Danio rerio: one gene and its partner. The protein of the gene in region 2 purifies or fractionates together with the protein of the main gene of each other region. This does not show direct contact. Links are inferred from orthologs where the notes say so. Each region holds a gene or a part of one and is shown on either strand. Other genes may lie near its edges.

Region 1 (13,980 bases), on a different chromosome or scaffold from region 2:
ATAGTTTTTTTTTTTTAAGATTGATAATTATGACAATCTAATACAAAGTAACTTAAATACAAATCTGTTGTTGCTATTTTGAAATAACCATTGGATTAAAAATCTCATTTTAATTTAAGGAAATGTATCATTAAAATGTTGCTTACGATACATTACTGTATATCGAATGAGTGGTCTGTAAATTAAACTGAAGCATTTAAGAACGCCAAAATTATATTTTCTCTTTAGTATTATTGACAATTTGTTTGTTGGAAATCTTGAAACAAAAAAATCATTTCGGATTTTTTAATTAAAGAGAATGTTACTTGATAAAAATAATACATGACAAAAATAATACTTCTGCTATTTTTAGCACTTCATTTTATATACTAACATTTTTTATATATTATTTTATATATGTAGCTTGGTTGCACATGTGTTACTGTCTTAAGAAAAGACTCTCTAAAACTGACATGCAAATACCAGCTCATCTGCATCATTTAAAGGAAAACAGTCTTAAGTCACAAATTTGTGTAACATTACAGATCTACACATTTCCTATCAAAATATGTTGTTGTGGTTCCACATTTGACATGGTAGTTTACATCATGTTTTAACTATTCGTTATTAAAATAATTTGAATAGAATCCTACAGGTCGCTGTAGTCAGTGTTGAGGAATGTTACTTTAGAAAGTAATGCATTAGAATAGAGTTACTCCCAACTTTCTTTTGTGCTCCTGCAGTCTCATTGAGGGCATGATTCAAAGGGACTCCATTGATTTAAATTCAGCAATTTATTTTTTAAAAGCAAATAAACTAAACTAAAATGTAACTCGCATTACATTTAAAAAGTAACTCAGATATTCTTAAAATAATGCACTACTTTACTCGTTAATTAGAAATCTTGCGTAACTCGCAATACTTGTAATGCATTACGCCTAACACTGGCTGCAATGAGAGGGATTTTGCATCATCTAAGAGATCCAGAGAAAGCAAATAAAAATAAATGAAGAGTGAAATGAACAACAACAACCATTATTTGGTCATTCCAATTTAATATTTATTTTCAAAAGGTTTTTAATTAAAAAAAAAGAAATGAACTAAAAGAACATTTAAAATCACAAACTACAAAATATGATATTTGCTGTAATCAGAGATTCAACAAATTGATAAATACAAGAGAATGTTTACCAAGCACTAAACAGATTTCCACAATAAAAATTAAACAATTCCAAAAATTTACACATTTACATTTTCTTCCAAAGACCCGAAAAAGAAAAGTGGAGAACGGTGAATTCAGTGATGATGACAAAACCTTCTCTTTAAGAAGCTGTCAAAACCTGTCATCACAAAAACATCAGAACCTGTTGGAAACAATGATGCTCAAAACAAACAGTGCATTAAAACAGTTCAGCTGCTCAGTAATACTCTCATAGACACTCAGTGTAGCTGCTCAAGACATGTCGGAATCCTCAATTTTCATCATCTTTTTCGGTGTTTCCATGAACGCGTCCTGTAACACATGATATAAGAATGTTAACAACTGTAATGTCCAAAAATACCAGTTTAAAACCATGGTTGGATAAATAATGTCTGCCAAAAACATCACCTCTTGTAAAGACTGTGCTGCTCCATTGCTTGATGAGCATTGGGATTCAGTATTCTCTGTCGTTTCCACATCCAACTCAAAGTCCATAATTTCACCAAGGTCGATCTCCTCTCTGTTACAAACAAAGGAGTTAAAGAAACAGAAAAAAAACTGTAGCAATAAAAATTTTAAAAAGTGTTAACACTGTGCTGATGTGTAAATGTTTTTCTTAATTGGGACCTATTATGTAAAAATCACTTTTATATGTGGTTTAAACACAGTGGTGTGAATATAGCCAGCCTCTAATGGTAAAAATGTATTAATTCTTTTTTTAGAAATCACAAGTCTGCAAAAACACTTTGATGGACATTCTCGCTTAGTAAACGCCATCAGAAGGGGGAAGTCTTGCCCATTAGAGAAGATCTCTTCCTCATAAGCGTATTCAGCCCTGAGTGAAAAGCAGCCTTTTGTCATTAGTGTTTTGAATCTGCTGCTGGTGCTTATAGCTCCGCCCTCTTTTGAATAGCACAATCTCATTTGAATTTAAAGCACAATTTGGATCAAAGCCTAAAAGGAGCAGTTTCAAAGGGTTATAAAAAATATCTGTGTTGTATTTCGAGTAGAAACTTCACTTACACACTTTAAAGCAGGGGTGGGGAAACTCGGTCCTGGAGGGCTGGTGTCCTGCACAGTTTAGCTCCAACTCTAATCAAACACACCTGCTTATAGATTTCTAGTGATCATGAAGACACTGATTGGCACGTTCAGGTGTTTTTGATTAGAATTGGAGCTAAACTATGCAGGACACTGGCCCCCCTGGACCGAGTTTGCCCACCCCTGTTCTAAGGACATTAGAGACTTATTTAACATCCTGTAAAAAGCGACATAATAGGTCCCATTTAAGCCTATTTTATTAGCTTTTTTGTGTTTTTGGAAATAAAGCTTACATTTGCTGAAAGTCGCTTCCCTCTTCTGCAGGAGGGTCCCATGCATGAAGTTTGACCCGCCACAATTTAATCTGCTGGTCCCAGGAGCGTCTGCTGTACTTCTTGAACTTGTTTGGAGTCTTTGGATGAACACCTGGTTGTCTCAAATGCCTGAAAGAGGAGTTATATTTTAAGGTTCTGATGCTGTACAAAAAATAATTGCAGAAAAAAGATCTGGGTAGCATGACACATTCGTTAAAAAAAAAAAAAAAGCATGGTTTAACTCACTTTGGAACTTCTTTAATGTATCTGTCGTACGCAAGAGTATTTTTCCCGTAATTTATCTGCTTCTGTCTTCTGATGAGGGTGGTCTCATCGGTCTCGATGTCACCTTTAGCAGGCGACTCTTTCGAATCCCTAGAGTCTCTGGAGTCTGAACTGGGAGAACAAGAAAAGCTTGATTACAACTCAAGTCAAAATTGCTGTAAAACTTACTTCTAGATTGAACTTTTATTTGCTATTATACGCTTAAACAGGTAGACCCACCCCAAATTCACACATTGGGTTGTCCAAATTGAGGTGAACAAAATGCTCAAACAATAAGAATAGTGTTTTGATAGCACCACATTTATTACAATTGTTATTACTTGTATATTATGCTGGGACAGTAGTAGTGTTCATTTAATCATGTTTTCTAAGCCTGTGTCCCTTGTCTGATGTATTATATCTTAAAAGCATTTAGTGTTTTTGTTTTCTCAACTAGCCCTACATTAAATTAACATCTTTCCAACTATCCCTGAAGCATCATGTCTAGAACAGTTTTCTGTGCGACTTCACACAGCAACAGCAACGCATGCAGCATGACATCAATAGCATCTCTGAAGCAAAAATGGTTAAAAGCAGGCAAAGTCCTGGATCGGTTTCTTTGCTCTTCTTTTATTTTTATTTATTATAGAAGTATCGGATCGGTTTTCGTTAATCGCCAGATACTTAAAATTAAGTAACTCAAAAAACCTGATCGGGCCATCGCTACTGATTTATAATAAATGAACACTAGTCACACATTGAAAACTAATAAAAATGTTTCTTCCAAAGATAAAACTTTAAACTCAGTAAGTTATTTATTTTTGGATTAGAATCCTTTCAATGAAATATATTGTAACGTTTTTAAATTGATTTCACAGTTAGTGCTGGGGTCTCAGATTTAAAGGGAAAAGTTTGTTAGCTAATATTTTGCAGAAACAAACAAAAAAATGGTTTGACGTGGACAAATAAGAGCACCTTTTAGGGGAATAAGTCTAAATGCGACCCTGATTAAAACACAAACCTTCCAGATGAGATTTTTCTGTCTCTTTGAGGGAAATCACTCGCAAGAATCCTCCTTCTGTAACTGAAAAATAATAAATAAAATGAAGGATTTATCAGTGCCATGTACACCTGTATATTTGCAACATAAAATACTGTAATTGTTGTTAATGTAAAATTTACTTTGGCAAGAATTTTTTTTTTAATTCAAGAGAGGCAACTGACCGATGAAAATCACGCCGGACATTTGTGCGCATTTCCTGTTCCTCCACCTCATCGCCCCAGTTTTTTATTCTGGACACTGGTCCTTCACTCTCTGGGGTTGTAAAACTGCACAAAAAAAGACACAATTGTTCAGTAATAAGAAAATAAACCGACTATCATTTGTATCTCAGTTTAAAATGTAATGAAATTCATCAAAGAGGTCAGATTTGATGCATCTAATAAATCAAAATGTCAACCACAACCTAACAAAACTACTCCAGTTGACTCTCTTGAGAAATTGGTATGTTGTAAAGTCAATGCAAAATGTTACCTTTCTGATCTCTTCGAACATCTTTGATCTTTGCCTGGCTCTTCATCAGCATGAGACTTCCTCAGAATACCATCTGCTCCACGTTTCCTACACTGTGACCACCTTGAAGCTCCTTTGTTCCTTTAACACAAAATATATATACATTTGAAAAAAAAAAAGTGAAAAAGTGAATGTTGCACATAACATGAACACGAAATGCTAAAGCAATAAACACATGGATATAATTAATAAACATTTGGTGGAGATACAACTATTTAAAAATCTAGAATCGCAGAGTTACAAAAAAAATTTATCACAGAACTGATAAAATGCACATTTAAAGTTGTTTATACAGAGCTTAGCAAAGCATATTACGAATCAAAATTTGGGTTAATACATTTTCAGTAAGAAATGCAATTTACAACACAAGTCATCATCACTTGTTAATATTCCAAATATGCTTATGTATAATTACAAACAAATCTACTTCGTTACACACTTAACGTTAAAGGAGATGGCGACGGAAAACCGCGACTTCCTAATAACTAACAGTTAACGTACACAATGAGCTAAATCACTACTCGAAGAAACCTTTGTTTCCATGGCGCCACAAAATAACCTGCAGTCAACACACAACTCACTGCAAATAATAAAAACAACAACTTTTAGTAAAACTAAAATAAGTAATGCTGATTTAGGGAATCCAGAGGTAATGCTCGTATGGCGCCAACTCTCATTTACACTCTGAACACAACACAGAAGACTGGCGGGAGATCTTCACACCTCATTCATTATCTGCATAAAAGAGTCGAGATTTTGCAAGAACTAATGACCTAAAATAGTAGAAGAAGTTACAAATGAAAGTAAAAAGAATGTTTTATAGTCCAAAAACAGACAAAATAGTGAAGTACAGCAGGAACACAATACTTTGTTGTCTTGCTATGCTAGCAAACATCGGAGCCACAAAGCCAAAAAACACGAAAAGACAAAAACAACTGCACACACCACTAAATATAGTTTAAAATTCTTACCTGTCTTCACTAGATTTGTAATCGTTTTCGTATTTGTATTTTTGTTGTTCAGACATTGCTTCGAGAGGGTGTAAAATTGAACCTGCACGTACGATCAGCTGCCGGGTTTGGATTAAACCGCGCCAATGTCCTGCAGTGTACGTCAACATCGATGTCACATGACACTTAAGGGGCGGTGTTAGTGACGTATCTCACAACTTGATCCACCCACATACGCCGATCCACAAATCATGTGTACCCGTTCGTTAAAATCTGCAAAGACCTTAGAATCAGGTGATTCTAAGCTCTTTGAGGTCGGTCTATGGTTTATAGATCACATGTCGAGTTTAGCGCGTAACTTCTTTTTCCGTTTTAGAACGCCGTGGCGGGAATACAAACAGACGAAAGACCTGGGTCCACAAAAATAATTTTTTCATGTATTAAGAAATAAAGAGAAAAAGTAAGTCATGTAAGGAAGCCCCAAGAGGCCATGGATTAAAATATTTTTTCTCTCTTGTTTTTTCGTGATGACTTAATTATCTCGTGATCTCGACATAAAACGTTATGACAAACATGTCGTAATCACGTTTTTTTTGTTTGCTTTTATATATTTATTATTATTATTATTATTATTATTATTATTACTATTATTATCTGACCAATGTCTGACCAGTGAGTCTGCACCGGCCTTGTGATCAGGGAGAAAATAGCCTAACTGCTCGGGCTCACAATAATTTAGTCGTGGTCACGACAAAACAAGAGAGAAAAATATTAATGCATAGCCTTTTAATACTTCCGAGGTAATTTCCCGTCGTCGATGTGTTTCGGTTTAATGTGGCAAAAACACCAGTAATTTTTCTTTCTTTCAAACAAGAAAAATACCATTACCGTTTGTTTAAACCTTAATTCCCTTCGGATTTTAAGAAAAATGAATCACCTTAAAGGGACAGTTCAACCAGTCACGTTGTGTGATGTATGTGCTAATTTTAGGAACTTAATAAATGTTATACAACCTGTAAGTGCAACATATTCAAAAATAACAGGGGCTACTGAATACATCAGTGAAACGTTTTTTTCCCATTTAACGTGACTCGCCATTTAATTGCTCAAACTCGATTCGAGTTTTTTCAGTTAAACATAAAAGAAAACATTTGAGAAAATGCTGGTTGCCGCGACCCATTGACTCCCATTTTTTCTACAATTGAAGTCAATGCATCCCAGCAACCAGCATTCTTCAGAAGAGAGAAATTCAAAGGACTCAAACACACGCACACAAGGAAGAAGGAGCTCATTTTCACATTTGAGTGAACCAGCTTTTTAAAATGGACCCTATAAACCTATATGTCAATACAAATAAATGTGAATATTAGATCATTATTTGAGTGCATTAAGATAAGCAACGCATTATTCCTTAAAACTTTTAAACTCATACAAAACCAATTATTCTGTCAGTTTACTCATCCTTTATTTGGAATTTATCAGGATAACAGGATTTATCAATATAATTCAAGACTCTTGTGTAAATAAAACTTTATCTTAATTATTTATTTATCATCCATCATCTCCCATTCATGGTTTACTTTCCAACTATTATGCGTTACACACTCCTATCCAGTAGGAGGCAGAAATGTACCATTTAAAAAAAAACACGGAGACCCACTGAACTAAAGGTCTTACAGCTACAGCAATATACACTGCACATAATACACTTCAAGTTTAAAAAGTACAACCAAACACACTTTACTATGAGGTGGACTAAAAAAGATTGCAGGACTTATAACATGGATGTTTCTAGTCTTTTACCAGAACTGGGGAACAGGACAACGTTAACAACTGTCTTTTTTATTTTGCCATATGAGTGCCAGTCATTTATTTATTGACTTTTAGTCCTGATTGTGAAAAACCCAGACATGCACATAATATTCAAATAAAAAAAAATCAATTCATTGACTTTTAGTCCTGATTGTGAAAAACACAGACATGCACATAATATTCAAATAAAAAAAAAATCAAATAGTCTGAATATTTAATAGCATAAATACCAAAATTTTTGGGGGATTTTTCAGTAGGTTAGAGACCAAGAAAAGTAAAAATATGAATGTGAAAAATAAATTAATATGTAGATACATATATGAAACAAAATAAATGTAGACATTGTGTACAAAAAATTAGCTTTTTACATGTTGAATATTATTCTTATATTTGGAATGCTTGGCATTAGATGACAGACGCAAATATCTAGCTTTTAATTTTGAAAAATTACTGCTTATACCGATGCTTAATGTTGCAGTACACACTTAACCCACTTTTCTAGTTATGGTACAGTGCTGCTTGAAATTTTTTTAATGTTGCTAAAAGCTGCACAGTATTGTGACCTCATTGCTACAGTTTTAACAGGTCTCAAAAGTCACAGCTCTGCAGTTTAGCTCCAACCACCTCCAACTCGCACCTGCTTAATAGCCACTAGTAGTCATGAACACCTCAATTAGTTAGATCAACTGCGTTTGATTAGGTTAAAGGCAAAACTGTGCAGAGCTGCAAACCTCCAGGAAATCAAGATTTATTGATTTTATTTTTTGACACTCACTTTACAATAGATCACTCTTGTAATTGTCTTAACTCTAAGAAGTCAAACTAGGGGACCAGTGGCATAGTTATTTATTGCTTAGACCAGGGGTGTCAAACTCAGCTCCTGGAGGACCTGCACACGGTTATTCAAACGCTGCTTCTACACACTTGCATGTAGGTTTCAAACAATGCTAAAGAACTGTTTGATCAGGTGTTTTAGCATTGGAACTAAACTGTGCAGAGCTTCAGCCCTACAGGAACCAAGTTTGACACCTGTGGCTTAGACCATAGGTCTTTAAGGGCCTACTCACACTATGCCATCCGTACCGTGCTCAGGCCCGTTTCCCGGATCGTTTGAAAAGTGAGTGCGCTGAATCGGGCTCAAGCACGGTTTACTTGGCCAGCCCTGGCCCGGTTGGAAGAGGTGTGCCTAAGCACGGTTCACTTGGGCTTTGGCACGGTACGCTTGTGTGCGAGTGCAAAATGCGCCAAAGCCTGAAACTGTTAGCGAGACGTGACTTTTAACTCAACTGCTGGAAGGCCATAGCTCTACAGTTTTTTGCACAAACCCCAAGACACAGCTGATCAAACAAATTTAGGAGATTCAATTGGTGTCAAGTAGCTTTGAACACACTGATTAGTTGGATCAGACATATTGATTAGGGTTTGAGCATAACTGAGCTGCAACTCTCCAGTAATTGAGTTTGAGACCTATGGCTTAGACCAGGGGTATCTAAACTCTTTCCTGGAGGGCAGTGTCCTGCAGTTTAGCTCCAACTTCCTTTGACACACACACCTGCCTGAAAGTTTCTAGAACACCCAAAAAGAGCTTAATTAGTTGGTTTAGGTGTTTAATTGGGGTTCGAAATATGCAGGACACTGGCCCTCTAGGACAGAGTCCAGACACTCCTGGCTTAGATAGTTTACCCAACTGAAAATTCAGTTGACACCTTTATTATTTTAGTGTAAGATATAATAATAATAAATAAAATAACACCAGGTCAATAGTGTAAAGTCAAAAAAGACTAGTCCAAGCAGTTGACAATTTAAAATATTCTTTCAGTAACCTGTATAAGACTATTCTATTTCTAAATGGAAAACCAGCCATAATTGATTGCATTACACATTGATAATTCTTAATATTCAGCATGAAACCACTTCACAAAAGGGAGCAGGTCTTTATATTCATTTACTAAAAATTAAACAAGAACATTCATATTCCATTCAGATAAGTTGACACCACAGTCGAAGTTTCGCTTGTTACATTCACATTGAACCGTTTGAGAATCGTCATTCTGGCTGATCTTCAACACTTTTTTCCTACAACCACAGGAAAAAAAAAAAAAAAAAAGTCAAACACAGATCTCAACATTAAATACTAAATAATGAAATGTAGCAGGCTTCTTTGTCAGATTTTTGAAGAAAATTGCAACAAAAATCAGTGCCAACCCTGCATTTGATATTCCAAGATTAAAAAGACATCACAACAGAGAAAGGCTTCTGCTATGATGGTATCATCTTGGATCACAATGACTGAAAAAGTTACCTGCGCTAGGATTTTTACAGGGATTTCACCTCTTCTTACAGTACAGTCAACACCCTCTTCCTATAGAAAAAGCCACTTTAAAAACAAAATCAACATTGATAGCCACAAGGTAAATGTGTTGTTTTCCTACTTTTGAATCAGATCTGCATTTACTACAGCCAATGCACTACACCATTTTTATTACTAGGAGCTGTATTGCCTACTATTAGTACACACATAACACTAACTTAAAGCAGGTCAACATGGCTCTTCCTGTAGTAAATGCACACCCTGACCTGATGGAATGATTTTATTTTTAACCACTTAAGACAAAGAAAGTTGACAGTTTTTGATTTCTGGATTGAGAAACACTTACCTCTCAATTCACTAGACCACTAGATTGAGGTACTCTAGATGAGTCTTGTGCAACCTGGAAAAACAATCTTCATCAGGAACATGGAAACAAATATGCAGCACCAGTAGCCAATTGACTTGAGTGTTTGCCTCCAGACTAGGCCTGCCTCATTTTGTGAGTACAGGCCACTCTCAGAAGACATGGCATAACCAGCACCACACAGCAGGATTCACTAAAACAGCCAAACCTGATGGAGCACAAATGGCAGTGCCTTTCTCTTCCAGCAGAGTAACACTAGCTCAGGCATGGTCTGGCCTGCACAGCTGACTACCGCTGGGCTTTAATACACAAGAAAAAAATAACATACTTGCATTACAGCAGCCAAAGGGTCTTCATCAGGTTATAAACACAAACCAGTCAGCCACCTAAAATGGGGAAAAAATATCAAACTGCCTTTAAAAATAGCATTTTTAAATAAAGTTCACTATACAGTTATCAAGCAAAAATTAATATACATTTAGGGCATGTTCCTGTTTAAATAATCAAGTCTTCAAAGAACCAGCCACGTTACTCAGAAGAAAACCACGTGTCGAATGCAACATGCACACATTTGACCCACAGGATTTACAAACAGCCCTCATCAATTTAACTACCTTTCAGAAGCTTATACGTCCCTACAGTGTGTGCGATAAATCAAAATGATAAACTTTACCTTCTTGTAACCTTTCGGTTTTCTTATGCTCATTTCTTCCACACATCGTCGAAGTAGGCATCGCGAAATGAGGGATCTTAGGAGGGGGCACTACGCTTTTATAGCTACAACTGCATACCATCGAAGAAGAGTGATCGTGGTGACATCATGTGGCCACATCCTATTTACGAGTGAACTGAAGGTGCGTTCGACTTCATGCAGCGCTGCGCAGATCGATCGAAATCTGTCTTAAAGCGGTGCATTCTGGTTAGAAATCTTGTCCGGATTGATGCTGCGCCGACGCCACGTGACTGTCACATGTGGCATCAAAGTACCGCGACAGCGCTCCGAGATCAGACGGCAAACTCAGACCATGCAGCTTCTGAAGAGCGACTGCAGGAGCTTTGATGACGACACCGATATTACACGATTGGCCAAGTTCACCACATGACAACAAACACGTGTATTTCGGGTTTATAATTGGACAAATTCCGATTCAAAAGTTTCAAAACAAACATTTCACTTTTCACACCCTCTCTATCCTGTACACATCTTGCTTATTAAAAGACTACAAATATTTTACTGCAGTATCATCTTTTGTTAAATAATCTGGTTATAAAGGTTAGCTTGTTTGCACAGGTTTATTTTTTAACTTTTTTATACAGACTATTTACTGCATTCATCTCTATGAACGATTTAAATGATATATTTTAGTGTATATTTTAGTGAATAACCTAAATATGAACTCAAATAAGTCTTACAGACTTGAAATAAAATAATCATCATCATTGATCCTGCCCCCCTAAAGCTCTCTTAACAAATTAAAGTAAAGAACTATTTTATTAAATAATTATAAAATGGCTTTATTATTATAATATAAATATATATTTTATTTTCTGTCTAGCAGTTTAAAGGCTACCTGCTCTTTCTGGGAAACTTCTACATCGCTCACTTATTTTACCTTTTGTTCTTTTCAACACAATCTTTTTGGATTAAAATGCTTTTTTGAAAATTCATTCATCATCCAAAATAATGTCATTTATTAAGACCTAATCAAAACACCTTGTTTTGCTTTTTACATGGGAAATTTTATATCTATAAATGTACATATATGCAAACCCTTTTTAGCATATTCAAACAAGAAGTATTAGCCTAAAGAGTGATGTTTAACTCCTAGAATTTATGCTTATTGCTTTGTATTTAATAGACCTGTTCGTTTTTATGTTTATATTAACCTCTCATTTCCTCTTATTTCTCTCATGCATTTGTTATATATTTTATTCATAATTCTCTCTTATTGTTTAAAAAGGAACTACAGTTTGAAGAGCCTGTATTCTGTTTTATTTGTAAATGTTTTGTTGTTATAAATAAAAATAACAAAAAAAATATGATGACGCCATGTGATCGGTCATCATAACTGCAGCAACTTTGAGTCCCGAAGTGTTCAGCTGTCCGTCTTGACGGCTCCGTTATCAACTCCGCCCCCGCCTGCGCTCGGCTAATCTCGTTGATCACCGGCTGCAGCTGAGCTTCATGTCGAACGCACCTTGATTCTTCTCGAAGATTTGTTCGAATCGACTCGAAAAGCAGTCCTGATAAGGTACTAGAACAGTAGTGTAATTTTAAAAATGTAAGAAAAGATGAAGTAATAATAATGGTAGATCTTATGATTGTATATTTATTATGAAAAAACTGACAAGTGACCTAATTTTCAAAAATCATGATTACAATAGACATAATATTACGTTAAAACAGGTATAATTTTCGTTTCATGTGGCTAAGTTATACTACTTGCTCATGTAAAAATTCAGGGTAACGAGAATGTAGATAAACAGCCAAAAACGTTTATTTTTAATCTTAAATATGTCAGATGCTGTTAAACACCGTTTAGAGTTATGAATGAGATGAGACAGCAGATGGCGCTGTACTATTGTATTTGATTGGGGTTGTTACTGACGGAATGGAAATGTGGACTGAAACATATGTGATCAAATTAACTTAAGTCAAATTTATTTCTGCAAAAAGTAAATAAATAATGTCCTAACAACCCCTCAGAATATATTTACATCCCAGCAACTTTCCAGAACAACTAACATTGTCTAGTCTACATGGTTGAGACTACACCCCATCTAAACTTTTATTTTCTTCTTTCTGTGCATTGCACATTGAAAGTGGGACATTTTTTTGCAGTTTCAATTGAAAGGGTACTGCATTGTCTTTTTGGTATTAAAAAATTAAAAGTATATATGGACAATTCTACTGAAATGTCAGTTTTCTGTTTCTAGACTTAACAGAAATTTTACACTTGAAAAACCCTTTATATTTTAAAAATGAAACAATGTGTTATTTGAACATTTGCACTTTGTCATCTTAAATGCTAAACAATTATTAAAACAATACTAGAATATAACTGGATTAAACACAGCTTAGTGAGTAGGCTATACATGATTGTAACATGTTTGATTCTTTGCAGCAGACATTTTGTGAAATCCATTTTTCATGAAAATTGTCAATGGTGTTACTTTTCTTATGGGTAACTCCACTGAAGGTCATTATGTTTCTCACTTGTAATTCATTGTGTCATTTGTGTTTTTACACATTAGGTTAACAAAATGTGTCACGATGTGTAATAATTTTAAAGATAATTTTACATGCTTTTATGTCTGTTACACTCAAGATTTAAGATTTAAAAGATTGCATTTTTACTCATTTAGAAATGTTTTTCAAATATTTTCTTTGTTATGGCAAATATATTATATATATATATATATATATATAGCGGAAAATAATCAATGTCATTAAAAACACTTTTGACAAAACAAATAACACATAATCTCCTTATTACTTGTGTTATCATTATTGTCTGTAATATGACTATGCACTAAAAAGATAAATAAATAATTTTTCATTAAAAAAACATAAGATTGGCCAAAAAAGTAGGTATCACCAGTGATGTTATATGACATTCAAACAAAAGTACAAAAATATAAAGAAAATCATTAAGCTGTCATTTGTGTGTTTTCATAAAGTCGCAAGGTGATTGATTAATGTGGACTAAGTTTAAAAATTTTAGAAAAATAATTTTTTGTCATTTTGCCATACCAAGAGAAGAAGTTTCTGTAGAATGACCCATATAGGGCTCTAAGGTTAACACTCTAAGGGTGATTTGATGGATGAAATTTATTCATACAGGCCTCTAGCCAGTGAAGGTCCGGGTGGTTCGAAAGACTCGCCCCTCACTGACAGAGGTCCAGAATTTGTACCATACATTAGTTCGTTCATCCTATTTTGATTGCATCATAAATTGTAAAAATAACTCATCGAAGAAGGCTTTAAGACCGAAAAGAAACTGAAGTAAGTGAAGTCATCTCATTACTGACCTACTGTGTTGTTGAATAGAGAAAACATTTTACAAGTAACTTTTATTCTAAATCTCGGACCTCATTCTTAAAAGGGAAAAAATGACCAATAAAAAGCTGTGAAGTTTGCTCTTCAGTGTTTGGACATTTAGCAGGGAAA
Region 2 (16,033 bases):
CTCGGCATATTTATCTATTTCTGTGTTGTTTTATATGGCTTTACACAGTCAACTGCCTTTTGGACTTGTTTCCTATTAGATGGCTTGGCATGCTGAGTGCACATAATTGTGCTCACAAAACATTCACGTGGCCTCCGTTTCCCATGTGAGTAAAGTTATATACTTATATACCATCTCTATACGTGTATTTGTTTTATTTAAGATCATTTATCGTTTAAATTTATATTAGAGCTGTAATGCACTCCAGAATCTGACAGATTGATTAGCTGTAGGCTCTAGAACAGTCGTCTGAAGCGTTGTCATACAGTGTCATGCTGGATTTCATCAATAGTCTTACATTAACTGACACAGACTATATCTGAAGTGTTTGGAAGTAATTTGCGTTTTCCTCCTGTTGAAAAACGTCATAAGAACAATGTTTAGTGGCTCAGTGTATTACAGCAGTGTTTTTAAAGGTCTAAACCAAGCACAGGTGGTCAGAATACAAACGAGTCGCAGGTGATAAAGTATTAAGCGTTCTCCTAAAGTAAAGTGTGTCTGAACCAGGTCCAAGCAAACTGCCAGCAGGTGTCTGTAGCTCCGCCCACTCTCCGCCTTTTTGCCCTTGTTTGGTATCCTGCTGTGGGTGTGATGACGCGCTAACAAAATGGCGGCAGTTAGCCGCGCCTACTTGTGGCTTCTTTTGCGCTCTTTAGAAACCTATGGGTGACGTCACGGACACTACATCCATATATTTTACAGTCTATGGTCAATACTAACAAAACCCAAACATTTGATATGAATTCTCTGAAAATAAGTTCTAATATTAAGTCAAAGTAGGTCTAAATCGCATCGTAAAGAAGAAAAAACATCACATTTAATAACCCAATTTACAGATAATGTGAAATTTAAGAATATTACAGATTTTAGGATGCATTTTAGCTCCTCTCAATCAGCAAAAATAAAGAAAAAGCTATTTTTTAAATAAAAATTACAGTGGCAGTTATTCTAAAATGGTTTAATCTAAAACTTGAACAATATAAAACAAGTATAGATCGATTCCTGTGACTTAAAGAAACACCAGGAGTTTCTGGAATCAGATCTGAGTTTCAGTAGTCATGTCAAAGCAATTAGTAAATCAGCACACTATCATCTCAAACACTGCAAGAATTAAATGCTTTGTTTCCAGTGAGGACTTAGAGTAACTTGTTCATGCTTTTATCAGCAGTAGGGTGGATTACTGTAATGGACTCCTCACTGGCCTTCCCAAAAAAACAGTCAGACAGTTGCAGCTCATCCAGAATGCTGCCGCCAGGATTCTGACTAGAACCAGGAAATCTGAGCACATCTCTCCTGTCCTCAGGTCTCTACACTGGCTCCCAGTTACATTCAGAATAGATTTGAAAGTATTATTACTGCCCTATAAATCACTAAATGGCCTAGGAGCTCAATACATTACAGATATGCTCACTGAATACAAACCCAACAGATCACTTTAGGATCAAATACACTTGAACTTCCAAGAGTTCAGTCAAAGCAGGGTGAATCGGCTTTCAGCTACTAACAGCGCCCCCTGCTGCTGGAATCAGCTTCCAGAAATTATCAGATGTGCTCCAACATTAGGTATGTTCACAACAAGACTGAAACACGTGTGTTTAGCTGTGCCTTTACTGAATGAGCACTGTGCTACATCCCGCAGATGGCATTATGTCTTTTTTATATTATTTTGTCACACTTTTTAACACATTTATTCCTGTTTATGTGAGCACTTTGAATTGCCACTGTGTATGAAATGTGCTATCGAAATAAACTTGCCTTGCCTAGAGTTTTACCGTTTCCCTCTGGAGACTATTATAAATACTTATTTACTAATTAACAAAAATGTCATATTTACTGTCATGCTGCGTTCACACCAGATGCGGAGCGCGCGCATAAATCGCACTATTTAAATAGCCGCGTGAACATTAGAGGTTACTCGCTTCATTCGCGCATCAAATTCGCTTCATTCCCGTGTCAAATTCACTTCAGAACAGACGCGGATTCGCGTGATGGGCAGGGCTTCTGTCTGCCCGGTGACTCTAGCTTCATAGCTAAATGGCTAACATGGATTTTATGAAGAAAATAACAGTGTTTATGTGCTTTAGGAAGGCTGAAAAACAGCGTTGATACGTTTAGGGCCGTGACTGAGTCCACTACATGCTTTGAGAGGTGCATCCAGCTCTATGAGCTCATAAACTCCTCCAGAAACTGAACCTGGATGACGGGGGCTTTCAGCGGTGCTTCTGACTGAGCCAAGCCCAGTTTGATGAACTGTTGTCGGCGTCGGCTGAAGGATCCCTGGGACAGCCACAACAGGCCATACGTCACAATCATGCCCCCACAAGAGCAAGCTCCTGATTGGTTAACGCGGCTTGAATGTCCGCTAAAGTTCAGATTAACTAAAGGCTCGCCTCCACATTTAAGTTCGAACCCTGCAACAGTCAAATTATAAGGTTCACTTGAACGTAGGGCACACTGGCTTTTTGACCTATAAAGAAGGGAACTTGGGTATAAAGGCACCAGACTTAGAAGAGCCTTGTAGACTAGAGTCATCCAGTGGGTGTACTGTCTTACATACAGAGAAGGCCACTCAGCTTTGGCATAGAGTTCACAATAGTGATATAGTCTACAACAGCCTGTAACAAACCTTCCAGCCACAACCAATCACTGGGAAACACCCATACACTCTTGCATTCACTCACATACACTATGGTCAGTTTAGCTTACCCAAATACGGCGCATGTGTTGGGACTGTGGGGGAAACCGGAGCACCCGGAGTAAACCCACGTCAACACGGGGAGAACATGCAAACTGAAATGTCAACCGGCCCAACCGGGACTGGAACCAACGACCTTCTTGCTGTGAGGAGATCGTTCTACCCACTGCGCCGCCTTGTCGCCCACCACCAAATGTTTACAAGCTTTAAGAGAAAAGCAGGATGCTCAATTGCACACGTAAAGCAAATGAGTCTTTCAGCTCATTCGAAACGAGTTCATCAGATTCTACCGAGCATGTGCAGAACTACATCACATGACATCAGTGAAAACGTTCAGAGCAGGGATTGAGTGACATCATCACAGCGATGCAGAGGTCATGACCTCAGACTACAATACCGTCACTGTGCTGTTCACAATGATCTCTCACACACCCATCACACACGCACAGAAGGCAGGGCATCTGACCTTCTCACGTCTGCCCGCTTTAATATTTAATATACACACAGATTACCCTTATGGCTGACAGCTTTAGCCTGCTCCAGTGTCACTAATGAGGGAACATCAGTAATGCGTCGCACGAACCGTATGCGAGTCACCACGAATGCAAAATGCAAAACAATTAATTATAAATGGAATATTGCTTAATTTATTGTTTATCCATGCATATCATTTGATCCAATTCACACGCTCTAGTAATATCTAATTAAAAATCCTGCCAACATCTATGACATCGTTTCACTTCTGATTTCCAGCCGATCATTAATTCTGTTTATTTACTTTAGTAAATGTGTGTAAATGTATATTTATTGAGTTTTTAAATTAATCACAGTAATATTATTGACTATTATGAAAATGTTCATCTGATTTATGCACAATGCAGTGTGTACAGAAATATTTTCTGTCTTTTAGTAGAGATATTATGAGAGACTTGCTTTGTTTACCAAATGAAGTTAATCTAATTGGATTTGCATTACAAACATTAAATAAAAGTTAAAAATGTATTACTTTTTATTTCATAAATTAACCAGTTAAACTCTGCTGCTATTTTGGGATTTCCGCCTAGAATTTGCCAACCCAAATGTAAAAGCATTTTCATATTTCACTATTCTTTTGTTTGATCAAACATAATTCACTGTGTTTGGACCACATCAGACATATAAAAGGATTACTTATGCACATCATCTCAAAAACAGAGGAGAAATGGCCCTGAAGCACACAGCATAAGGTAAGAGATGACAGCTGTCTGTGCTATCTGGGGCTGCTTAATGATCATAAATGTATTGTTTTCACTTCTACGCCATTGAAACACCGCGATTCATTCGGCAACTGTTTAAAATGTGAATATAATTCAGTAAAAAGAACGCTAAAACCGAATGAGCACCGGCAAGATATGAAAAATATGAAGATGAACCAATGTTCAATACCCAGCTCGGGTATCCAGAATACTGTGTATTTAAGTGTAAATAAACCCGGTACAGGGTTCGTGGAGTTAACTGGTTAAGGTTTTAGTTCTCATACTCCCAAAATAATTCTGCAGAAACCAAAATACCAAAATTCTCCGCAGAAATAGCAAAAAAAGTCCGCAGATTCCGCCTGGCCCTAGTTTTCTGACATGAAGGCAGGATTAAAATGTCACTCGCATGACTCACATTGTGGCCACTAGAGGGCGTCTTTTCACAACAAACTAATTTGTAGTTTGGCGATGATGGTGACTTGAGTGTGGAATCATGGGAGTTGTGGTCTTCATTACATCATGCAGGACTCTGGCAGAAATCATGTCGATGGATGAGCTGAAGTATCAAAATAGTCAAAAAAATTTGTCATTGGTAATGTTGCGTTGTTTTTGCAACGTGTTATGAGCTGTCAAACAGCATGTGTATATATTTCCTGTAAATGAATAGCAAATTGTGGCGTGTTGCTAAACATTTAAAGAAGTTTGGCCAGAGGAGAAATGGTCATGCCCGACTGAGCTTGGTTTCTCTTGAGGATTTGTTTCCTTCACTTTCGTTAATTGGGGAAGTTTGTTTTTCACCACTGGCTTGCTTGGTTTGGGACTTGTGGAGCTGCACATCGATGGATTACTCTTCAGTGTTTGGACTTTCAGCAGTGAAAATTAAACCACACTGAACAAAACTAAACTGAACTTCAACTCTGAAAACTGGACTGACACATTCTCATTTTACTAGAGCTTCCACGTTAAGCTGCTTTGACACTACAGAAATAAAGATGAATTCAAATGTGCATCTTGTGTTTTATTGATGACGTCATGAGCGAATAGTCGACATCGACTCGACTTTGAAAACATGAAAATCAACCACCAAAAATCTAAAGTCATTCAGACCCTAACAAAAAACTCACTGGTTTGGATGAGCCTCTTCCCCGTGAAGATGACCAGCTCCCGTCAATCTTATCACTGCAGTCTTCTGTCCACTGAAGGAAAAGACACATGTACAGACACACACACACAAACAGAGAGAAAGAGAGAGCGAGAGAGAAAGAAAAATCTTACTGTAAATAGTTTCAGGTGTTGGACATTTTTTTTTGTTGTAGTTTAAAAGTGCTTTCAAACCTGTGTTGCTCTTTGTTCTTGGTGCGGTTCACTTTCACACGGCAAAGTTTCTAACTGGACCACAAGAGCTAAAACTAGTCACGTGCGAGTAAACTCTCCTCACATTGGTCAGTTTCAGAGATAATTTCCAGAGTCCCGCTCAGCTGTCAGGGGGGGGGGGGTAGTGGTTTGCTGGTGTTTGACAAGGTGCGCGCGACGTGTCTGAAGAGCGAGGACAGATGCGGTGGGGAGGGGTGAGAAGGGTGCGCAACGTATTTGAGGACCAGGAGGGAGATGCGCGATTTCCGGGAGATTATCACTCGTTTGCGGGCACCTGGGAGTCTCTGTGCAGTTTCAGGAGACTAACGAAACATCCGGGAGACTTTGGATCTCTGTAATGACCTTCCACCCTGCTCTTAATTTTTTCCTTATTTAGCCGTATGCCTATTACATATCCATAAAACACAGTGATATAACCGCGCTCGAATTGTATTGCTTTCTCACTGCAATCGATCCACTCCAGAGTTCGTTTCAATCGAGCCAAGACTACCTCATTCAATCGATCTCGGAGCGATTGTTTTGGTGCGGATCCGAGCACGATTGGTGGTTTTGCATATGCCAAACGAACCACGCTAACTGGGCAAACGAGACAGGTTCCGAAACAAAAGTGTAGGTGTGAAAGCACCCTAACATGTGAGGTGTGGGGCTAAGGCTAGATCCAAAATCATTCACTATATTCATACATCATACATATTCCCAGCTTTAAGAGTGCTTTCACATCTATGGTTCAGTTAGTTTGGTCAGCAAGGGCAACACACGATGCATTGTACCATTTTCTGCCGTTTTTGGGTCCTTTTCACACCACACTGATTGCTTTGGTCTGAACCAGTTGAAAAGAACCAAAATGCAGTCATGTGACAAAATCCACATCACTCAATAGCCAGATGTTATTGAACGTATTTCCTAAACAGCTTTGCGATTGGTCAGAATTAATGTGCAGGAAAATGCCAATGGAACTCCCGCAAGTGAACGAACCGGCAGACACAGAAAGTCGCTTTATACTATGCAGTTACGACTAAGCTGGCTGACTGTATCCCTGCTCACAGTATACTACATAGTTTATATAAATCACTTTAGACAAACTATACATTTCGAGAAAGAACTGCGGCTGGAAAACAATGTTTTAATGTATTGCAGATGGCGAAGGTGCATTGCACGTCGTATGAATTAATTTAGCTAAACTGCAGCATGGTCATCTTCCGGAAATATTACCAACGATCCATTAGGTAATGTTTTTCCCTCTCTCTCTCTGTCGTTAAAGCGAAGTCAACAAATATTTTTCCTCTACATCCCATAAGATGGGACAGCACATCGGACTATGGCAGCTGGATTAGTCCAAAAAGGCGCAGTACTTTTTGCGGTTGGGTCTGTTTTTATGTCGGATCATGTTCTCACCACAAACGAAACACTCCAGGGTTCGTTTAAAAGCGACTGAGACCACCTCTTCACCTCTTCTGCTTTTGAAAAACAGAAAAACTACACACAGCAGACATTCAGTCCTTATATGGGTTCAAAAACAACACAGACCATATAGGCCCAATTCCAATTCTATTTTTGTACCCCTACCCCTTTCCCTTGGCCCTCACAACCGAGGGTTACGGGGAAGGGCTTCAAAATTTACCCCTAAGAATTAGGACAGCACTACAGCACCTGCACACGCCATCATATGTCCTCGCGATCTCCTGCTTCTCCTCTGAGATCAGACAATGGCGACTGCTGTAGTGATTCCAGTTGTGTTATTTTTTGGTATTTATCTTCAGGAGACGACTGAAGGCATGTATTATGTCATCATAACGATCTAATGTGGCATTAAGATCGTAACTGCACTGAGTATTTACACAGTGGCCATATTCATCTACATAAAAACACCAAAAACAACATTAACATTATAGCAGACACTGTAAAAAGCTCATTGACAGCCACTAGACATTACTGACAGGGTATTTGAGTGTCAGAATGCTGTGGGACTGCTGTACAGGAGTTATCAATAGGGATTATAGATCGCGAAAGTTTGCGTTTTTTTGTGGTTTTTTTAAAGCATGAGGGTAAAACACGAACGCGGTCATGAATATGTTAAAACATATGTTTGTTGGTCATAAAAATTCATAATAATGACAAAAAAAATACTAATTTGTGGATCTCCTTATTTCCGCGTTCAGCAATACTGCCGCTGTTGATGGTGTATTCTGGGAAATTTTCTTACCCCTTGGTTTCAAGTGTGGTCCTGAAAAATCTTCGTCGAAGAGCTTTTCACCTCTTCCCCTTAGCCCTACGCCTTCAAGCTAAAGAGAATTGGGACCTCCCTTCCCCTTGGCGTGCACGCGCAAAATTGAGGGGTAGGGGTAAGGGCTAAGGGGTAGAATTGGGATTGGATCATAGTATAGCCCACAGTCAGAGCAAACCACTCATCTGTATCTTTAATCTTGACCAGCACATGTAAACTCTGTAAGAAATTAACTTCTTCATTCTGAGTTCATAATAGTCCAGAAGGTAATGATGATAGTTAAATATGGCAGTTTGATCATGTTTCAGGCTGCTGAAAGAATCATTTTCTTCTTTGTTTTTTTTACATGTCACTCTCGTCACGCGTCATTTGTCCATTTCTGAAAGGATCAGATGTCAGAAGCGCTTCAATAATCACGAGCACATGATTTTAATCGGCTCAAGAAGTTTGTTATTTCAAATATAAACATGCTGCGAGCGTACACGAGAATGGTAGATTCTGCTCTTCTTGGCTTTGTGGTTGTTCATCAAGACACGACAAGGTTCGTTTAAGCTCGGGTTGACCATGGCTTGTTATTAAATGTATATATCATTATGGTGTAATGTCTCTGCTGTGTATTTAAAAATAGCGCTTCCTTTGTTTTCATTCTCCTGCTTGTGTACGAGCTATTGATGTTTCTCTGTAAACCAATAGCGTTCAGCTGCATGTTTAGCTCCGCCTTTTGGTACCATTTCATCGTGTTCGATACCCCTCCGAAAGAATACCCAAAAAGTGCTACAGTGCGATTCGCTTTTTTGGTACCTTTTGACAGTGGAAACAGCCACAAAAGCATACCAAACCGTACCATAACACTCAGCGGAAATGGGCTATAATACAGTATCAGTATATATAACGTGGTACCTGTGAGGTGTGGGACAGGGTCTTGTCCACATCGGGGTCTGTTTCGTTCTTGTCGCTCAGCAGTCCCTGCACCTGGTACTCCAACACGTAGCTGTCGATGAAGCGCTCCAGCTCCTCGATCTCCTGCGAGCGTGTGCTACCCGCCTCTGACGACGCTGACGCCACCGATGAGCTCTCCATAGCAACCGGCCCAGTGTGAGGGAGGAGCAAGGGAGCTGCGGGCAGGGCAAAGAGGAAGTTAGTGACACAAACCCTAATAACAACAATCTTTAAGAATGACTATATAGTTAGAATAATTATTTAGAACAATATTTATTTATATTATTTAGAATAATATTTAGTAGAGTCGTTATACGTCTGGAATCAGAATTATTAGCCCCCCTGTATATTTTTACCCCAATTTCAGTTTGATGAAAAGATTTTCTTAACATTTTCTTCACTTTTCTAAGCATAATGGTTTCTTTAACTCTTCTTATAACTGATTTCTTTTATCTTTGCCATGACAACAGCACATATTTTTCAAGATTCTAGTATTCAGCTTAAAGTGACATTTAAAGGCTTAACTAGGTTAATTAGGGTAAAGTTAGGGTAATTAGACAAGTCATTGTATAACAGTGGTTTGCTCTGCAGACAATCCAAAACAAATATATTTTAAAAACGGGGGCTAATAATATTCACCTTAAAATGGTTTTAAAATAAAAACTGCTTCAGAACTACTTCAGGGGGTGAAAACGTCAGAATTGTTAAAATACTAAAACATTTCAAATTGTTTTGATGACTTGGAGAAATGTTTTAATCTGTATTAAACTTGTTCTTAGGCATTTAAATCAGCTTTCCTCGCTTCAGAAATGAAATGATGAGATGAAGTTCTCGACAAAGTAACTTACATGTACAAACTGAACAGAACAACTTGACAACACAAAGGAGAAAAGTAATGTAACTGTGCAAGTCTTCAGTTCGTGCACGACTTAAAGGACAAATAATCCCACAAAAAAATGCTTCACTAAAATGAAGCACAGGCCCTCGAGTCCTTCACACTTTATACTTATGCCTTCCACTGAGCTTCACATTACCTAATGAAGTCTCAAGGTAAAATAGAAAGAGAGAGAGAGAGAGAGAGAGAGAGAGAGAGAGAGAGAGAGAGAGAGTATAATCTGGTTTTAAGTCACTACTTGAATCGTGTCCAAGCAAAGAGGATTTACAACTGGAGCAGCAGCATCTTACCAGCACACATCCATAATAACACGCAACGGTCTTACGCCTTCAAAAGCAGAGCTGCTGGTATTTAAGATCATTTGACTGGTTTAGCAATTGTTCTCTGTACCACCCGTGATCTGTCAATGAATCCTTTGTGCGAATATTCATCATGTTTATTCGTTCATTTTCCTTCAGCTTAGTCCTTTTATTTATTAACCGCCAACTTATCAAGAATGTGTTTTACACAGCTGATGCCCTTCCAGCTGCAACCCAGTATTGGGAAACACCCATACATATTTGTTCACACACTTATACAATACGGACAATTTAGTTTACCCAATTCCCCAATAGCACATGTGTTTGGACTGTCAGGGAAACCGGAGCACCCAGAGGAAACCCACGCCAACACTGGGAGAACATGCAAACTCCACACAGAAATGCCAACTGACCCAGCTGGGACTCGAATCAGCCACTTTCTTGCTGTGAGGCGACAGTGCTAACCACTGAGCCACCAAACTAAAAGAAATAAGACTTTATTTCTCCACAAGTGGAAATGTAATAGGAAATACTGTAAAAAACGTCCTTGCTCTGTTAATCATCACATGGGAAATATTTGAAAAAGAATAAATATGTCTAATATTTATATATTGGATAGAGGATAGAGGAGTCTTCATACATTTTTTTTTAAACAAGATAACTTTTAATATAGTTATAAATACTTTAGGGCAGTGTTTTCAAACTGTGGGGCGCACCCCACCAGGGGGCACCAGCACCTATTAAGGGGGGGGGGGGGGGGGGAGACATTGAGGCGTGCACTCTGAGGCGCGCACTAGAGTAAAATATGATGACGATTTTTATGCGTTCACTAGAGGGAGTAATATGATTATCATTAGCTCCACAGCTAACTATCAGGCACCTGTAGAGTTTATGCTTTCCAGTGAAACATACACAAAAACAATGGACCGAGTGCTTTTTAAAACTAGTGAATGAATGAAAGTCAAAGCATTGAGCCGTCTGACAAAAAAAAGTGCCCTTCTGGATATTTCAAATACTTGGAAGACGCTATTGACTACGCTTACATGGACATCTGTAATAGTTATTTGTCTTAATCTGAATAAGACAATGATAGAATAACGTGAAGTGTTTTTTGATTGTTGCGTCACCTATTTACATTTCTTGCGTGAAGTCACAAGTCTCCTAATGCAATTCTTGGTGTTTCATCTTTAATTTCTTGACTTTACCTGCAGTTCCGCAGTTTAACTTTTACTCATGAACATTTCATTCATGCCCCCATGACAAACTGGGATATTTGATGCGAATATGAAGGACTGGTGGAAGAGTGTTGTATTTATTGATACCGCACGTCGAATGGAAGAAAAAAAAAAAAAACTTCCGCATTTTGCGATGTGTGTGTGTGCAGTCCGTTACTGACAGCCACGTGGGTGGATCTTGTCGGAAAATATGTTGAAAAGTCCAACATAACGGTAATAGTTTGCTTGGGGTGTTTACTTCAATAATGCCACTAATATCTGCATACTGCACATGTCTTAATTCCATTTCTGTTTAGTTCAGTTATGACTTTAGTCGCATTAAGGTAATAAAATAAATAAAATAAATTTTAAAAAGTGCCATTTACATGGTAGACTCTTAATCAAGAGTATTGTCTTAATCATATTGAAATTGTATTGTTGCCCATGTACTGTAAACATACTCAATCTTCGACTCCACACTGTCAGGGCTCTGCCAACTTGGCTTCGTGGAGCAGCATTTTTCGTATGTACGTACATCGAAAGCAAGTAGGTGATGATTTACAATTAGTCGTTTCAGGAATCCGACCACAGATTAGCATGTTGTCCTCACAGAAACAGTCTCAGCCATCACACTGAACCAGGTAAGATGTATATTTATGTTTCAACGTAATTAACGCTAAGCACTTTAAACGCAACAAGTAATATGTGAATGATGTCTGCATATGCATTGTAATTTTGGCTCTAGGGAGGGGTGCTTGGGGGGGCGCGAGTGAAATTGGACAAACTTAGAAGGGGCGCGTGTCCTAAAAGTTTAAAACCCCTGTTTTAGGGGGCGGTCTAGAATGTAATTTTAAGGCTTGGTTGCATTTATAAGATGCAAGGCAATGAAGGCTCATGCTTCACTTGTAGAAAATCATATTATTTTTTCATTTATCTTAAGCCTGATTTATACTTCTGCGTCAAGTGACCGGTGTAACCCACGACGCATGCAACGCGCGTAGCTGTGCATTTATACTTATGCGCGCTGTCTCTGTTGGTCTGCATTAACACTTCCGAAACGCTAGTGGGCAGTGAGGTGTAAATGTTCCTCTTTGTTGAGTTTCTTCGCTGCTGTTTTGCTTTTCCTAAACACTTCCTGGATGTACAAGTGGCTCAAACTCGCTCATTTTGAGGCAGGAACCGGCAGACTTTAACTATGAGGTAAACACAAAACAAAACTTTCCATCATGAGCTCCTTCACGGGACTCCACACTTGTAAACAATCGCTCCATTGGGCTCGTGCTGCTCGCGCGGCTCTCAGTCCCACCCTTGACTTGTCAGCGCTCCCAAGCAGACCAATCACAGAGCTTGTGCTACGCGTCATTGCGATGTGTAGTTACATTTTTTGAGAGGTACGCGTCAGTGACGCCAACGGAAGGGCTACGCGTCAACCTTGTAATAACACTGACAGTGCATTTTTTTGCTATTTTACAACACTATTTCTCATACATTATATTATTAAAAATTACTAAAATGTTAATAAAAGTTACTTTGTTAAACTGTAGAGTTAAATTTCCAACATCAAAAGTGGACAGAGCAGAGATCAACATCCCATAATGCAATTCACAACCAGTAAATAAACTGAAAACACTTGTTAAAAGAACAGATATTTACAGTGCACCGACATATGAAGAAACAAAACTATTTTCAACATTAATCACAATCAGAAATATTTCTTGATGATGAAATCTTGATCTTATAATATCTTCTGAAAGATGGCGTGACACTGAAGACTCGAGTAATGATGATGCTGTAAATTCAGTTTATAATCAAAACAAATGCAGCATTGGTGGACTTCTGCATATCAGCCACAAAGAATGTAAACAAAAGGTGTTCATGTGTGACAGAAGTGCGTGTGTGTGCTGTGATATCAGCTGTTGATTGTAATGACAGTATGACTCACACACACACACACACACATGCACACTGAAGATGACAGCTGAGGGAAACACAGAAGAGTGTGAGAAAGCACATCAGCAGATGAGCGTGAGAGTTTTTGATTATCAGTAGATTGAGCTGGACAGCTTTAATGAGGATTGGAGATCTCTGACCTCTGCTGACTCCACAACACACACACACACACACACACACACACACACACACACACACACACACACACACACACACACACACACACACAAACACAAACAAACACACACACACACACACACACACACACACACACACACACACACACACACACACACACACATTACTTTTATGCTGCGTTCACACCAGACACGGAACGCGCATCAAGCGCGAGTGATTTACATGTTAAGTCAATGCAAACGCACAAATAGACATCCTGCGGCGCGAATGGCGCAGAGCGAATGACGAGAATTTCGCGAATGGCGCGGTGCGAATAGCGCGATACGCGCGAGGCGAATTGATCGTTTGCCGAATCTCTCGAGTTCGAAAATCTGAACTTCAGCGGACATTCGTGCCATGTTAACCAATCAGAAGCTTGCTCTTGTGGGGGCTTGATTGTGACGTAGAACCTGTTGATGGTGTCCCGAGGCAAATCCTCCAGGCGACACCGACAGCAAGTCATCAAACTGGGCTTGATTCTGTCAGAAGCACTGCTGAAAGTCTCCGTAATCCAGGTTCAGTTTCTGGAGGAGTTTATGAGCTCAGAGCTGGATGCTCCTCTGAAAGGATGCAGTGGACTCAGACAGGACCCTAAACGTATCTACACTGTTTTTCAGTCTCCATAAAGCACATTAACACTGTTATTTTCTTAAAAAAATGCATGTTAGTCATTTAGCTATGAAGCTAGAGTCACCGGGCAGACAGAAGCCCTGCTCATCACGCGAATCCGCGTCTGTTCTGAAGTGAATTTGACACGCGAATGAAGCGGATTTCACGCCCGAATGAAGCGGGGTTTGACGCCCGAATGAAGCGAGTAAACTCAAATGTTCACGCGGCAATTTACGCGCGAATATCTCGATTTATCCACGCGTTCCGCGTCTGGTGTGAACACAGCATTAGGGTGCTTTCACACCTGTGAATTGATTCAGTTGTTCCGAAACAGGGATTACAATTGTTACATTGTTGCTCTTTGTTCTTGGTGCGGTTCGATTTCACACAGCAAAGTGTCTAAACGGACCAAAAGAGCTAAAACAAGTCATGTGCGAGTAAACTTTCCTCTCATTGATCAGAGTTTCAGGGTTTATTTTGCAGAGTCCCGCTTAGCTGTCGGGGGGTGGTGGTTTGGTGGTGTTTGACACGGTGCGCGCGACGTGTCTGAAGAGCGAGGAGAGATGCGGTGGGGAGGGGTGAGAAGGGTGCGCAACATATTTGTGGACCAGGAGGGAGGCGCGAGATTATCGCTCGTTTGTGGGCATCCAGGAGACTCCCGAAACTTCCCGCCCTACTCATAATTACTTATAAATTTTAGTTTACCCAATTCACTTATAGCGCATTTTTTGACTGTGGGGGAAACTAGAGCACCCAGAGGAAACCCACGTGAACGTAGGGAGAACATGCAAACTCCACACAGAAATGCCAACTGACTCAGCTGAGGCTTGAACCTTCTTGCTGTGAGGCGAAAGCATTACCGACTGCGCCTCCAAATGTCCCGCTTTTAGATCAATATAGAGTAAAAAGTCAAGAGCTTTTCATCGTTATTGACATCAATTTCAATGATTTAATATAATACCGTTTATTGGTCCTTATACACGCACAGAAAGCGGAGATAAAATCCCATCGTTAAATTACAAATCAGATCACAATCAATATAAATGATTGCAAACAAAGCAATTCTCGAAATAGGTGTTTACAGCGGCTTTAATCTAATGAGCAGTCTTGAACACACTGCTGGGAAATGAGCACAATTGGGCTGAAATCATTGCAGCCAGAAATAAGATTAATTGGGCTCTCATTAGGGCTTTTCCATTAGCCACTCAGACGGTTCTGGTCCTATTGAATGCGTCTCATTTCACGCAGGATTTTCTCCCTCCGGATATCATCATGTCAAGTGTAAATGAGTGAATGTGTCTGACAGCGCACAGACTGAGCCTCGGGCTCTTGACTAATGGACCACAGCAGTCTGAGACGCAGAAATCCCCACAATAAAACACACTACAGGAGAATTCAACAAGAAAACAATCAAACACGATATTCACTATTCACATTCCAGAACACGTCAAAGTCAGTTTATTCAGGGTATCTGCACACTTCTAAGAGATATATTTAAGACTGTAAGACCATACAGAATGAAATTTAAAGGGCACCTATGATGAAAATCAACTTTATTAAAGGTGTTTGGATAGAACTGTGTAGGTCACTGACATATACTGTGGGCGAATTATCGGTTTTTAAATAATCAGGATGTGCGCACATCAAGGTTTCAGAAAATAAAAAACGTGAGCGCTAGCATTTACAGCAAGGGAATGACATCCGATGCGGTAAAGAGTTTGTTGTTGTCTTAGAGAGAAGTTATATTGATTACATATTATTTAAACAATGCTTCCAGCGTATTATAACAGCTTGTCACCCAGTGATGAGAACAGTAATTCTGCAAAATTAACGTTAAACTGAGCGGCGTTTGTCTGACAGGTCGAATTGCGATAGCACCCTCCCGATGGACATTGGATATACGATGTATATAAATATAAAAATAAAACATTTTTGCATTTAAAATGACATAAGTGAGCGAATGACACTTAATGAGTAGTTTTAGTCTAATGCTGCGTCACAGCAGACGCGGAACGGGATCAAGCGGGAGTGATTTACATGTTAAGTCAATGCAAACGCGCGAATGGCGTGCTGCGAATGGTGTGGAGTGAATAGCGCGAATGGCTAGGTGCGAATAGCGCGATATGCGCAAATGGAGCGTTTTGCTGTTAGCGCGCAAACCGCTCGTGTTTAAAATCTGAACTTCAGTGGTCATTCGCGCTGCGTTAACCAATCAGGAGCTTGCTCTTGTGGGGGCGTGATTGTGACGTATCGCCTGTTGTAGGTGTCCTGGGGGAAATCCTTCAGCCGACACCAACAAAAAGTTCATCAAACTGAATCAGTTAGAAGCCCCGCTGAAAGCCTCCATCAACTAGGTTCAGTTTCTGGAGGAGTTTATGAGCTC

The links.
Region 1: the proteins of ctif (region 2) and slbp purify together in Homo sapiens (affinity purification with western blotting; 3 studies listed by BioGRID). This does not show direct contact. The link is inferred for Danio rerio from reciprocal best matches to the Homo sapiens genes CTIF and SLBP.

What each region holds. Positions count from the first base shown.
Region 1 is NC_133189.1:17,111,916-17,125,895, reverse strand, and holds slbp (histone RNA hairpin-binding protein), read right to left. Parts: upstream 5,488-13,980; 5' UTR 5,400-5,487; coding exon 5,344-5,399; intron 4,454-5,343; coding exon 4,334-4,453; intron 4,129-4,333; coding exon 4,024-4,128; intron 3,884-4,023; coding exon 3,821-3,883; coding exon of another isoform or gene 3,817-3,820; intron 2,932-3,816; coding exon 2,782-2,931; intron 2,665-2,781; coding exon 2,515-2,664; intron 1,701-2,514; coding exon 1,589-1,700; intron 1,493-1,588; coding exon 1,433-1,492; 3' UTR 1,012-1,432; downstream 1-1,011. UniProt on the Homo sapiens protein: RNA-binding protein involved in the histone pre-mRNA processing.
Region 2 is NC_133196.1:3,991,741-4,007,773, reverse strand, and holds part of ctif (CBP80/20-dependent translation initiation factor), read right to left. Parts: intron 8,683-16,033; 5' UTR 8,648-8,682; coding exon 8,468-8,647; intron 5,166-8,467; coding exon 5,094-5,165; intron 1-5,093. UniProt on the Homo sapiens protein: Specifically required for the pioneer round of mRNA translation mediated by the cap-binding complex (CBC), that takes place during or right after mRNA export via the nuclear pore complex (NPC).